Linked DNA regions of Xenopus tropicalis. The main gene of each other region encodes a partner of the protein of the gene in region 2 in a complex. Links are inferred from orthologs where the notes say so. Each region holds a gene or a part of one and is shown on either strand. Other genes may lie near its edges.

Evidence for each region.
Region 1: tfdp2 (region 2) and e2f6 share a complex: the UniProt entries of both Homo sapiens proteins name them as parts of the DRTF1/E2F transcription factor complex. The link is inferred for Xenopus tropicalis from reciprocal best matches to the Homo sapiens genes TFDP2 and E2F6.

What each region holds. Positions count from the first base shown.
Region 1 is NC_030681.2:138,935,112-138,939,895, reverse strand, and holds the start of e2f6 (transcription factor E2F6), read left to right. Parts: upstream 1-1,781; 5' UTR 1,782-1,919; coding exon 1,920-2,003; intron 2,004-3,598; coding exon 3,599-3,644; intron 3,645-4,784. UniProt on the Homo sapiens protein: Inhibitor of E2F-dependent transcription. Binds DNA cooperatively with DP proteins through the E2 recognition site, 5'-TTTC[CG]CGC-3'. Has a preference for the 5'-TTTCCCGC-3' E2F recognition site.
Region 2 is NC_030681.2:129,561,110-129,565,686, forward strand, and holds the start of tfdp2 (transcription factor Dp-2), read right to left. Parts: upstream 3,000-4,577; 5' UTR 2,791-2,999; intron 1-2,790. UniProt on the Homo sapiens protein: Can stimulate E2F-dependent transcription.

The DNA of each region.
Region 1 (4,784 bases), about 9.4 Mb from region 2:
ATCTAAGGAGCAGAATTTTCAAGATATGAGATGAGATTTTACCACAGAAAAACTCCTTTCCTATGGGAGTTTTAGAAGCGTTTTTATCAAATGGTGAACTCTAAAAAGTGTATTTATTAGTTGGTGAAAGTTAAAGTCTCATAGGAATGAATATAAAGTGGGTGATTTTTTTCTGTGGTAAACTCTAATTCCATTTTGATAAATCTACCCCTAAGTCTTTTACTCCATAGTATTCCTAGGTACTTTCTTACCATTGTTCACCTTAGGCTCATTTAGACTATAAGAAACTTTTGCATCAGGGCTGCATTTCCAGACTGAGATTCAACAGGCCCTGGAATGTCAAGTACAGGAAGGGCCCACAATATATTTGCTACAATCCACAGATTGCGGTCTGGGCCTGCAGGACTGTCAACTGTCAGCCATCACATATGGAGAGCAGACATCCTCCATTGCCCGTAAATTCAAGAGACATCGTTTTTTCCCTGCCAACACTTGGAGCATCTCTGAGCAATGTTTCCAGACTGCAGAACAAGGAAACAAAATTGTAAAGGTAAAGCTGAAAAGTTGAGGGGAGAGCAAACAAAAAAAAGACATGTTGGGGAAGAAGGGAGGATCAGTCCTGGTAATCTCCCAACCCTCAAAGTGCAACAATATCTGGCCCTTGCTCTCTAAAGCTGGCCATACTCGCACCGATACTATTGTACGAAACCTCGTTTCGTACGATATTCGGTGCGTGTATGGCATGTAGGCAAGTCGACTGATATCGCAGGAAGCTGCTGATATCGGTCAACTCGCCGATCGGCCAGGTTAGAAAATTTTGATAGGGTGCCATAGAAGGCGCCTGACCAAAATCTGCCGTCAGGGCTGAATCGGCAGAAGGAGGTAGAAATCCTATTGTTTCTACCTCCTTATCTGCTGTTTCAGCCCTGAACGGTGTGTGGCGGATCTGACGATGTTTCGTGCGACCATGTGGCCACCTTTAAGCTGCCCATTACAGGCTGATTAAATGTACACACTGCAGCCCACCAAACCAGACACCTTGAACGACCAATATCTGGCTTATGGAGTTCGACAACAGGGTTGTGTCTTTTTAAACAAACCCTAAACATACATGTATATAGAACAGCCCTGTCTGGATTCTATTGACCTACATGGGTTTGTGTCACTTGTACACATTGTCTCAGGACAATCATTTTATAGCTCGCAGTTAAAACCACTCACTGGGGATATTTAGCAAAGAGAAGCGAGTAAAGAAAAAGGACTGGAAGGTACTGAAATGCTTCTGTGCAATTAGTCTTCTTTTAAAAATCAGCAACACAGCTATGAACATAAACAGGCCCAGACTACTCCCCCCAGCAGCCCAATAAATAGTAACATGGCACCTTACAGCAGCCCCTCTGGCATTTGCCAGAACCCACAGATTGCCAGTCTGGGCCCAAGCAAAGACACGCTGGTTAATCCTGGGCAGAACAACACCGACCCAGTAGCCCACAGGTACCACTGATTAGTTTTTATGCAGTTACAGCAAAAGCAGCAACCTGATTGGCTGCCCTGGATTACTGTGCAAGTTTCCCCAGAGTTGCTACATAAGCCTCACAGCTCCGTCCCCCATAATATCAGTTAGCAGCTAAGGAGCAGCTATTAAGTAGCAGGACTGAGCAGTTTCATTCCCCCTTAGACTTCAGTCACCGCATGAAGCAACACCAGGCGCCAACCCGAGCTCGCTACGCCTTAAACCCTCGCCCACAAGTGCTGATAGGCTGACTCGCCATGACGACATGATTGCGCGACGCAGAACCCTCGCCCACAAGCGCTGATAGGCTGACTCGCCGTGACGACATGATTGCGCGCCGCAGAGCATGTCAGGTGACTGTCCCACGGTTCTGCGTGTGTGAGAATTCCCGCGGGTTCCTGGTAACATGTCTTCCCCGTCGCCGGAGCTTTTCAGCCCACTTCCCGCGGCCACAACGAGTGACTTGGTTGAAGCAGAGGAAGTAGTGAAGGTGAGAGCCGTGCACCTTCCCTCGCTGGTGTGTTCTGTGTTCCCAGCATGCACAGCGGTGTTATACAGCCGCAGGGATATAATCATTTATTAACTTGTGATGTCACTTGTGTATGTTATACATCTGTTGTGTTTCATTTAGCCTTAGCTACACAGTCTGCTGCTTCGCTCTCACAGTTGGCAGGGCTGCTGCTATACATGCCCCAGTGGGCCCTTAGGGGAGGCTCCTGTTACCATTGTCACCTACCTATAGTATATTCCCCAGGGATGTACCATTGTCACCTACCTATAGTATATTCCCCAGGGATGTACCATTGTCACCTACCTATAGTATATTCCCCAGGGATGTACCATTGTCACCTACCTATAGTATATTCCCCAGGGATGTACCATTGTCACCTACCTATAGTATATTCCCCAGGGATGTACCATTGTCACCTACCTATAGTATATTCCCCAGGGATGTACCATTGTCACCTACCTATAGTATATTCCCCAGGGATGTACCATTGTCACCTACCTATAGTATATTCCCCAGGGATGTACCATTGTCACCTACCTATAGTATATTCCCCAGGGATGTACCATTGTCACCTACCTATAGTATATTCCCCAGGGATGTACCATTGTCACCTACCTATAGTATATTCCCCAGGGATGTACCATTGTCACCTACCTATAGTATATTCCCCAGGGATGTACCATTGTCACCTACCTATAGTATATTCCCCAGGGATGTACCATTGTCACCTACCTATAGTATATTCCCCAGGAATGTACCATTGTCACCTACCTATAGTATATTCCCCAGGGATGTACCATTGTCACCTACCTATAGTATATTCCCCAGGGATGTACCATTGTCACCTACCTATAGTATATTCCCCAGGGATGTACATCCTGCAGTCCTATAGCTCTTGTTCAGCTGTTTTGCCTTTACTCATAGTTTGTTAGAGTCGTTCTGAGTGTTGTAATTCAGCAAGAACCTAATGGTTGCAGCTAAAATTACTTGTAATTCCCTTTACCTGCTATTAAAACACACACTTAGAGAATGTGAAGTCCATTTTTTTCTTCCATGCATTTAACCTGTACGTTAACTTTTAGCATGTTGAATGGCATATTCTCAGCAACATTTCATTTCATTTGGTCTTCTTTTTTTTTTTTTTTATAGAGTTATTTTCTTTCCCCTTCTGCTCTCAGCTCTCAAATGGGGGTCACTGACCCCTGCAGCTGAAAATCATTTGCTTTCAGTCCCCCTGTGATTCATATTTAAGCCACTGACTGGTTGCTATGGTAAAACTACCCTAGCAACTAGATAGTGGTTGAAATTCCAAGCTAGAAAGCTGCTAAACATATATTCAAAACACTCAAACACTTTACCCAGGATCACACAGTTCTAATAAATCAAGAGGTGCTGTTTTTTTCGGGTGTTAGATGTTTGCTAGGACTGTTCATGCAATCGTGAACAATGTGGTATTTTGCCTTGTGTGTAGTGATACAGTGAAACCAGGAATTACCCTTGCCTTACTATAATGCACAGCAAGCAGTGCAGGATACAGGCCCAAAGAAAGCTTAATTCTTTGTGTTCTTTTGCAGATGAAAACAGAAATTCAGCATGAAGAAATTAAGATACCGACTAAAAGTATGTTCATTTTACTCTTTTCCCACAACAATATGTTCCACCGGGATATCTGTGGCTTTTGCATTATTGCTTCTAAATATATAATACGCAAGAGAATATCACAAGAGTATCCTGTAAATGATATCCTTATAAACAGTGCTTAGTGATGTCATCAGTTATAAATGGTTCTTAGTGATGTAACTCACTGAAACTTGTGTATTATAATAAGCGATTACATTTTTCTAGAATCTTTCTTTGCGGGCTGTTCACATTTTTATAATCACTGCAAACGTGCTTATTTTGGCAGCTGTGACACATAGACAGTCCATCTTTTGCTAACAAGTGACGGTCTCTCCTCTCATTTGTCCTAATAGCAGCTCAGTAAGCCTGGGTGCCACCTCTAAAGGTTTGATATTTAATGGAGACCTAAAGAAAGGCTCTTTATAGCAATAATGCTCCCAGTCTTTAAGGTTATGTACAGGAGCTCTCCATCTTGTATTTTTTTTTTTTTTTTTTTAGAAGTGTCGCTGCACATGCTCAGTAAGGTCTGGGCAGCTGTTGAAAAGCTAAGCTTAGGGGCTGTAGCAAATTATCAAGCAGAAAATGAGGCTGGCCGGTTATAGAAGCTGATGCTACAGGGCTGATTCATTGTTGTTGCCGTGTAATCTGAATCTAAATCAATAACTAATCAGCTTTGTATTGTGACATTTATAAGTTGCCCAACTTTGGAGGCACAGATCTTCCCTGCTAAAGGGCTGTTGTTGCCTTTGGCTAGATAGAGAGAAACACAAGGAAAATAATAATCACATCTAACTTAGGTTATTTGAATGTTTCCTTTGGAACTCTGTCTGGTCAGGCACATTCTCAGTAATAAGCAGAGACATTGAAAAATGCATTTAATTAGTTAACTGTAAATAATGAATCCAATGAGCTGATACTTGCTGAACTTGGGTACCTTCCACTGGTTTTTCTATGTTGGTATCTCAGTGGGTTAAAAAGGTTTGGAAGCAAATTCATTGTTTTACTTCTCAACCTAAAGGTGCCCATACACGTTAAGATCCGCTCGCTTGGCGAGGTCGCCAAGGAGGCGGATCTTCTCCCGATATCCCCACCTACGGGTGGGCGATATTGGGAAAATGTAGGCCAAACGATCAAATTTGA
Region 2 (4,577 bases):
GTAAATGGGGGTGATTTTGTTTTTGTCCCCCACCCATGCAGCCAGGTGAGAAAATGCTAAAAACTGTATTATGAGTCTTTGCCACTTGCATAGAAATGTAGGGCATGCCTTTGCACTAACTTCATGTCTTCTATAGGCCATATGGCCCAAGATGCACCAAAGCTCTGCACTTTGTGCTCCTTCTCTATACCAGATAAAGAGAAAGCTTGGGAACATTTTAGTTACAACTCCTGTAGCTTAAACCTTAAGAACTTTACAGTTAAAATACATTGCTCTTATATGAAAAAGAATCCATAGCATATAGTACTGGAGTATCTACACTGGTAGATCTGGCAGGTAAGCAAAGAACTAGCTCCTAGTTCTAACTAAAAGAGTGTACGTTTTAAAGGGTAACTTTGTGGACAGATTGGCCCCTGGCCCACCAAAACTCAGACATTTAGCTGGGGCTGAACTGCCAGAATCCCCCTACCACAAAGAATTACACACAATCCCACATGCAAAGCCAAGGGATACTGCTGTACAGAACAGATATGAAAAAAAGAACAGAAAGCAAAGAAAGGGGCCAAGACAGAAACGTTGCCCCCTTTCACCATGCAATATATTATCAGCATTGCTTGGGGCCTAACAAAGCATAAACATTCTTAAATACTGCCAAAGAGTACAAAATATTAAGATTCCCATAGCGTATTAGACATCCTTACTTCCAACTCGTGTATAAATAAACCAAATCTGATTCAATAAGGGCCTCCTAATTGGTGTAAATAATACAGGGAATTAGGAAATGCTTGGAGCCAATAATGTAGGAGCAACTCTAGAAATGTTCTCACGCCACAAGCCATCAAACAAACATAGGACAAGCTGAAATATAAAGTCAAGATTGCCAGTATTTCCAAAATACAATGAACACTTCAAGTATAAAGGATACTGACTCCGAAATAGGAAATATCCTAAATGTGACTCAGTACGACCTTTAAAGGTAAGGCTTGAGGGACCTTTCACTCTGCCCCCTTCCCAACATAATATATTGTGGAACAAACCTAAAGCAAAAGCATTTCCAATCTGCAGCCTTCTAGCTGTTATTAACAGCAATTCCTGGCATCCTACCAATGTAGCTGGTGTTGTGGGGGTTTTAGTGCAACAATAGGAGGGCCACAGCTTAGATATGCCTAATGTACATTTGTGCCATATGCATCTTTCTACAGTGACCCCTACACAATACTGTGCATCATCCATTTCCCACGTGGGTCATGCAGCCCAATCAGTCCTGTGCTTAGCCTTAATTGTTACTACCATAACCAAACTTCCTACTGCAGCATTGTACTCTGTGCTGCACTTTCCTCTCCCAGGCTGCACATGTAGGCCAGGCCTTACCCAATCAGCACTGGGAGCAGCCAGCATGTGTCACTGATATGAGTGGGACTGATCAGGCAGCCCAGAGGAATGTCTCCTCCCTGCAGCAGCAGCAGCAGCAGCAGACAATGCTCTCGCCTTCATTAGCATACAGCTGACACTTAGGGCTTTTCATAGTGACTGTCCCACTGAGCAGCATGTGGCCCCAGGAGGCTGTCTGACCCAGGAAGCTGGCTCTATAGAACAAATGGGAGCCCTAACCCCCCCCCCCCCCCCCCCCCCCCCCCACACACACACACACACACACACTTTTACTACCAGTTAAAACTAAATGGCTTCTCTGACCATGGTAAAAGTTTCACACCAAAATGGTGTGACACAAAATGGAGGACTATGATAAATCAAGGTTCCTTAAAAAGCTAAAAAATAACCAGAATCCCCTTCTGTTTGTATACATTGTGCATTAAAGGTCCCAGAGAACAGCAGTGCACATTCTCCCTCACTCACACCCACCCTTATCCTGCTGCACAGGAAAGTACAATTAGCAAGAGAGCAGGGATGCTTGAGTTTCCAGAACAGACACAAGGCTCCACTTGTTCACTCCAACTGCACATGTGCACTACTACACACTATATACACTACTACGCACTAATAATCAGAACTCAGCATTCTAACCACAGGCCCATCACAATAACAAACTCCATCAGAAAAGCAAAGATTACCCATGAAAATTGTTGCATGCTCCATTGATCAGAAATTCCCAATATGCTGATGTGTGACTACAAAACCCTGCATCCCCTAATATCCTCTGACTTCCATGGAATGCAGGGGCTTTAGTTTCCCCAACAGCTGGTGGGCCCCATATTGCATATACCTGCACTGTATAACTACAATAACTTGCAGCAGCACAAAATTCAAGGATTTTCCCCCAAACATTGTGCTCAGTGTCTATGCATAGGAACTTCAAGTGGGGCATATATTGTACATATAAATAGGAGCAAGTTATTTTTTAATATTTCTATTATTGCTAAACCCACCATGGAATCAAACAGTGACTAAGCATGGCAAACACACACATATATATATATAGGTATAATTCATATATAAATACAATATAGCCTGATGCACTTGGAAGGGTTACTTAGTTGTAAGAGTTAAAACAATGGTGTATATGAAAATCTGTCATCCTGCTACATCTCCCCACAGCTCCAAGCAGTCCTGAGTACAAGCCCAGAAATCAGAGTGCAAAAGCAAGTAAATATGAGGAATATTATCCAATAAGTCAGCAGGGACTACCCTCCCCCCCAGGCAGAGCATGCTGCAGGAAATTAGTGCATTGTGTGGGACCATGAGAGCCTGGGGATCAGCATATATCCCAGTCTTAGGGGGGATCAGGTAAGTGGGAGGATAGAAGGGGTGACCCTTATGCAAGGGACCTACCTCAACACAGGACACGACTGGCTCACTATTCCCAGCTCACTACTAGAGCCACTCTTTGTTACCATTGCCTGAAAACTTGAAAATGAGGCAGGCATGAGCAACCGAGCGTCGAGCGCATCCACCGCGCACATCCGCGATCAGACCTAGCCAGGCACAATCAAAACAATTGGCATGTTATCTCCTGGGCAGGCTGAAGGTTGCTAGGAATTCTCAGGCATCGGCTGCTTCACTTACGTCATGGACTTTTAAACGGCAGAAGTCCCGGCGCAGTTTATTAGCCACAATCTTTAGAAGGTTACCCCGGCATGCTGGGAATTGTAGTTTAGGGAAACTGGCGAGGCTGATAGACAATGTTTACGGTTAGTGTGATTTGATAGGCTGTGCCTTTCAGCAGGAGGAAAATAAATCTCTGGGTTTTCTGCTGTCCTAGTGGGATAAATTGAGCATTAATGATTGTGATTATCCAGGCAATGTACTGGGCAAGGAGGGATGCTGGCTTATTTCAGATAATTTCAGAAGCAAACTTTAGAAGGAAAAATAAAGATGACTTTCTGTTTCATTAATAAGCAGCACTGTATGGCCATATAGCTTTATGTATGGGCAGATCATTACTTCCTTGCTTATTGGAAGCACCATGTTTATTGATTTTGAACAGACACACACCATACTAAGGACAGAAGATCACACAGTAAGATCATATGTGACTCATTGGACCGCAGACACCTAAATGGTGCTTTGATTGCCCCAAAAATCTCTATGCTTTGTGTGAAATCACCTACTAGAATGTAAAGAATGGAGGGAGACCATTAAATATCCAAAAGGGTAATGCTTGGGCCTTGATAGAGGCAGATCAACTATGGTAGGCCTATGTACAAATGAACTGCTGGCCTATCAACCTACCCACCTGTTGCTGAATAACTAAGGGTACACAAAATAATGTGCATAAAGTAACATGTATATAATTGGTTACTTTGCCTTCAGTTCATGACAGATGTAATGTAATAGTCTTGAAATGTATTTTTCACCAACGTTTTTTTCAGAATTGCTTAAAACCCCAAGGGGTGATTCAGGGTTGTGCCTTTCAGGTGGGGATTAGCTCTACATGACCTATAAAAGATTAAGAGTGTCAATGAGCAGATTAACATTCTCTTGTCATGCCTGAGGCAGAGGATATTGCCATGGTTTATTTCAATGTTTCTCTATGGGACCAGTCTGCCTTGTGCAAATTTTATCAGGCTTGAGTGGACACCTTGCCTCTTCTACATGATAATGACACATTTAAAATTAAAGTTGCAGAGAAATAGGCTAATTAATCACTCCTCACTGAAAAATATTTAGGAGAACTGTAGGTTAAGGTTTCCCACAAGATATTAATGCCAATGGGACTTGATCTCTGGTTAGTAGCCATGCTTACATTATGATACAATCAGGGGAATACTTTTTTACATTACAGCTCCTGACCTCACTTTAAAAATCAAAAAATCAACCTTTATACAAGGAGGTTAAAGAGTTAAAATGTAATTGTGTTTCCCAGGCACAAAGATTTTTTGAATGGCAGGAAAAGGGTTAAGCTAGTCATACCCCTCCCTTGTTGGTTTATCTGCTTGCCAGCAGAAGGCATCTGCAAAGTCATCCCCTATGGAACAGCATTTGAGTGGTAAGTACACAAAACACAAAGCTGTTTTTCTGCTAAGAAAGAACTTCATCCTGCACCACTGCGATAGCAACCGTTTGGTCTGAAAGAAAAAAAATATACCCAGGGCCTTAGTGATCCTCCATGTAAATAT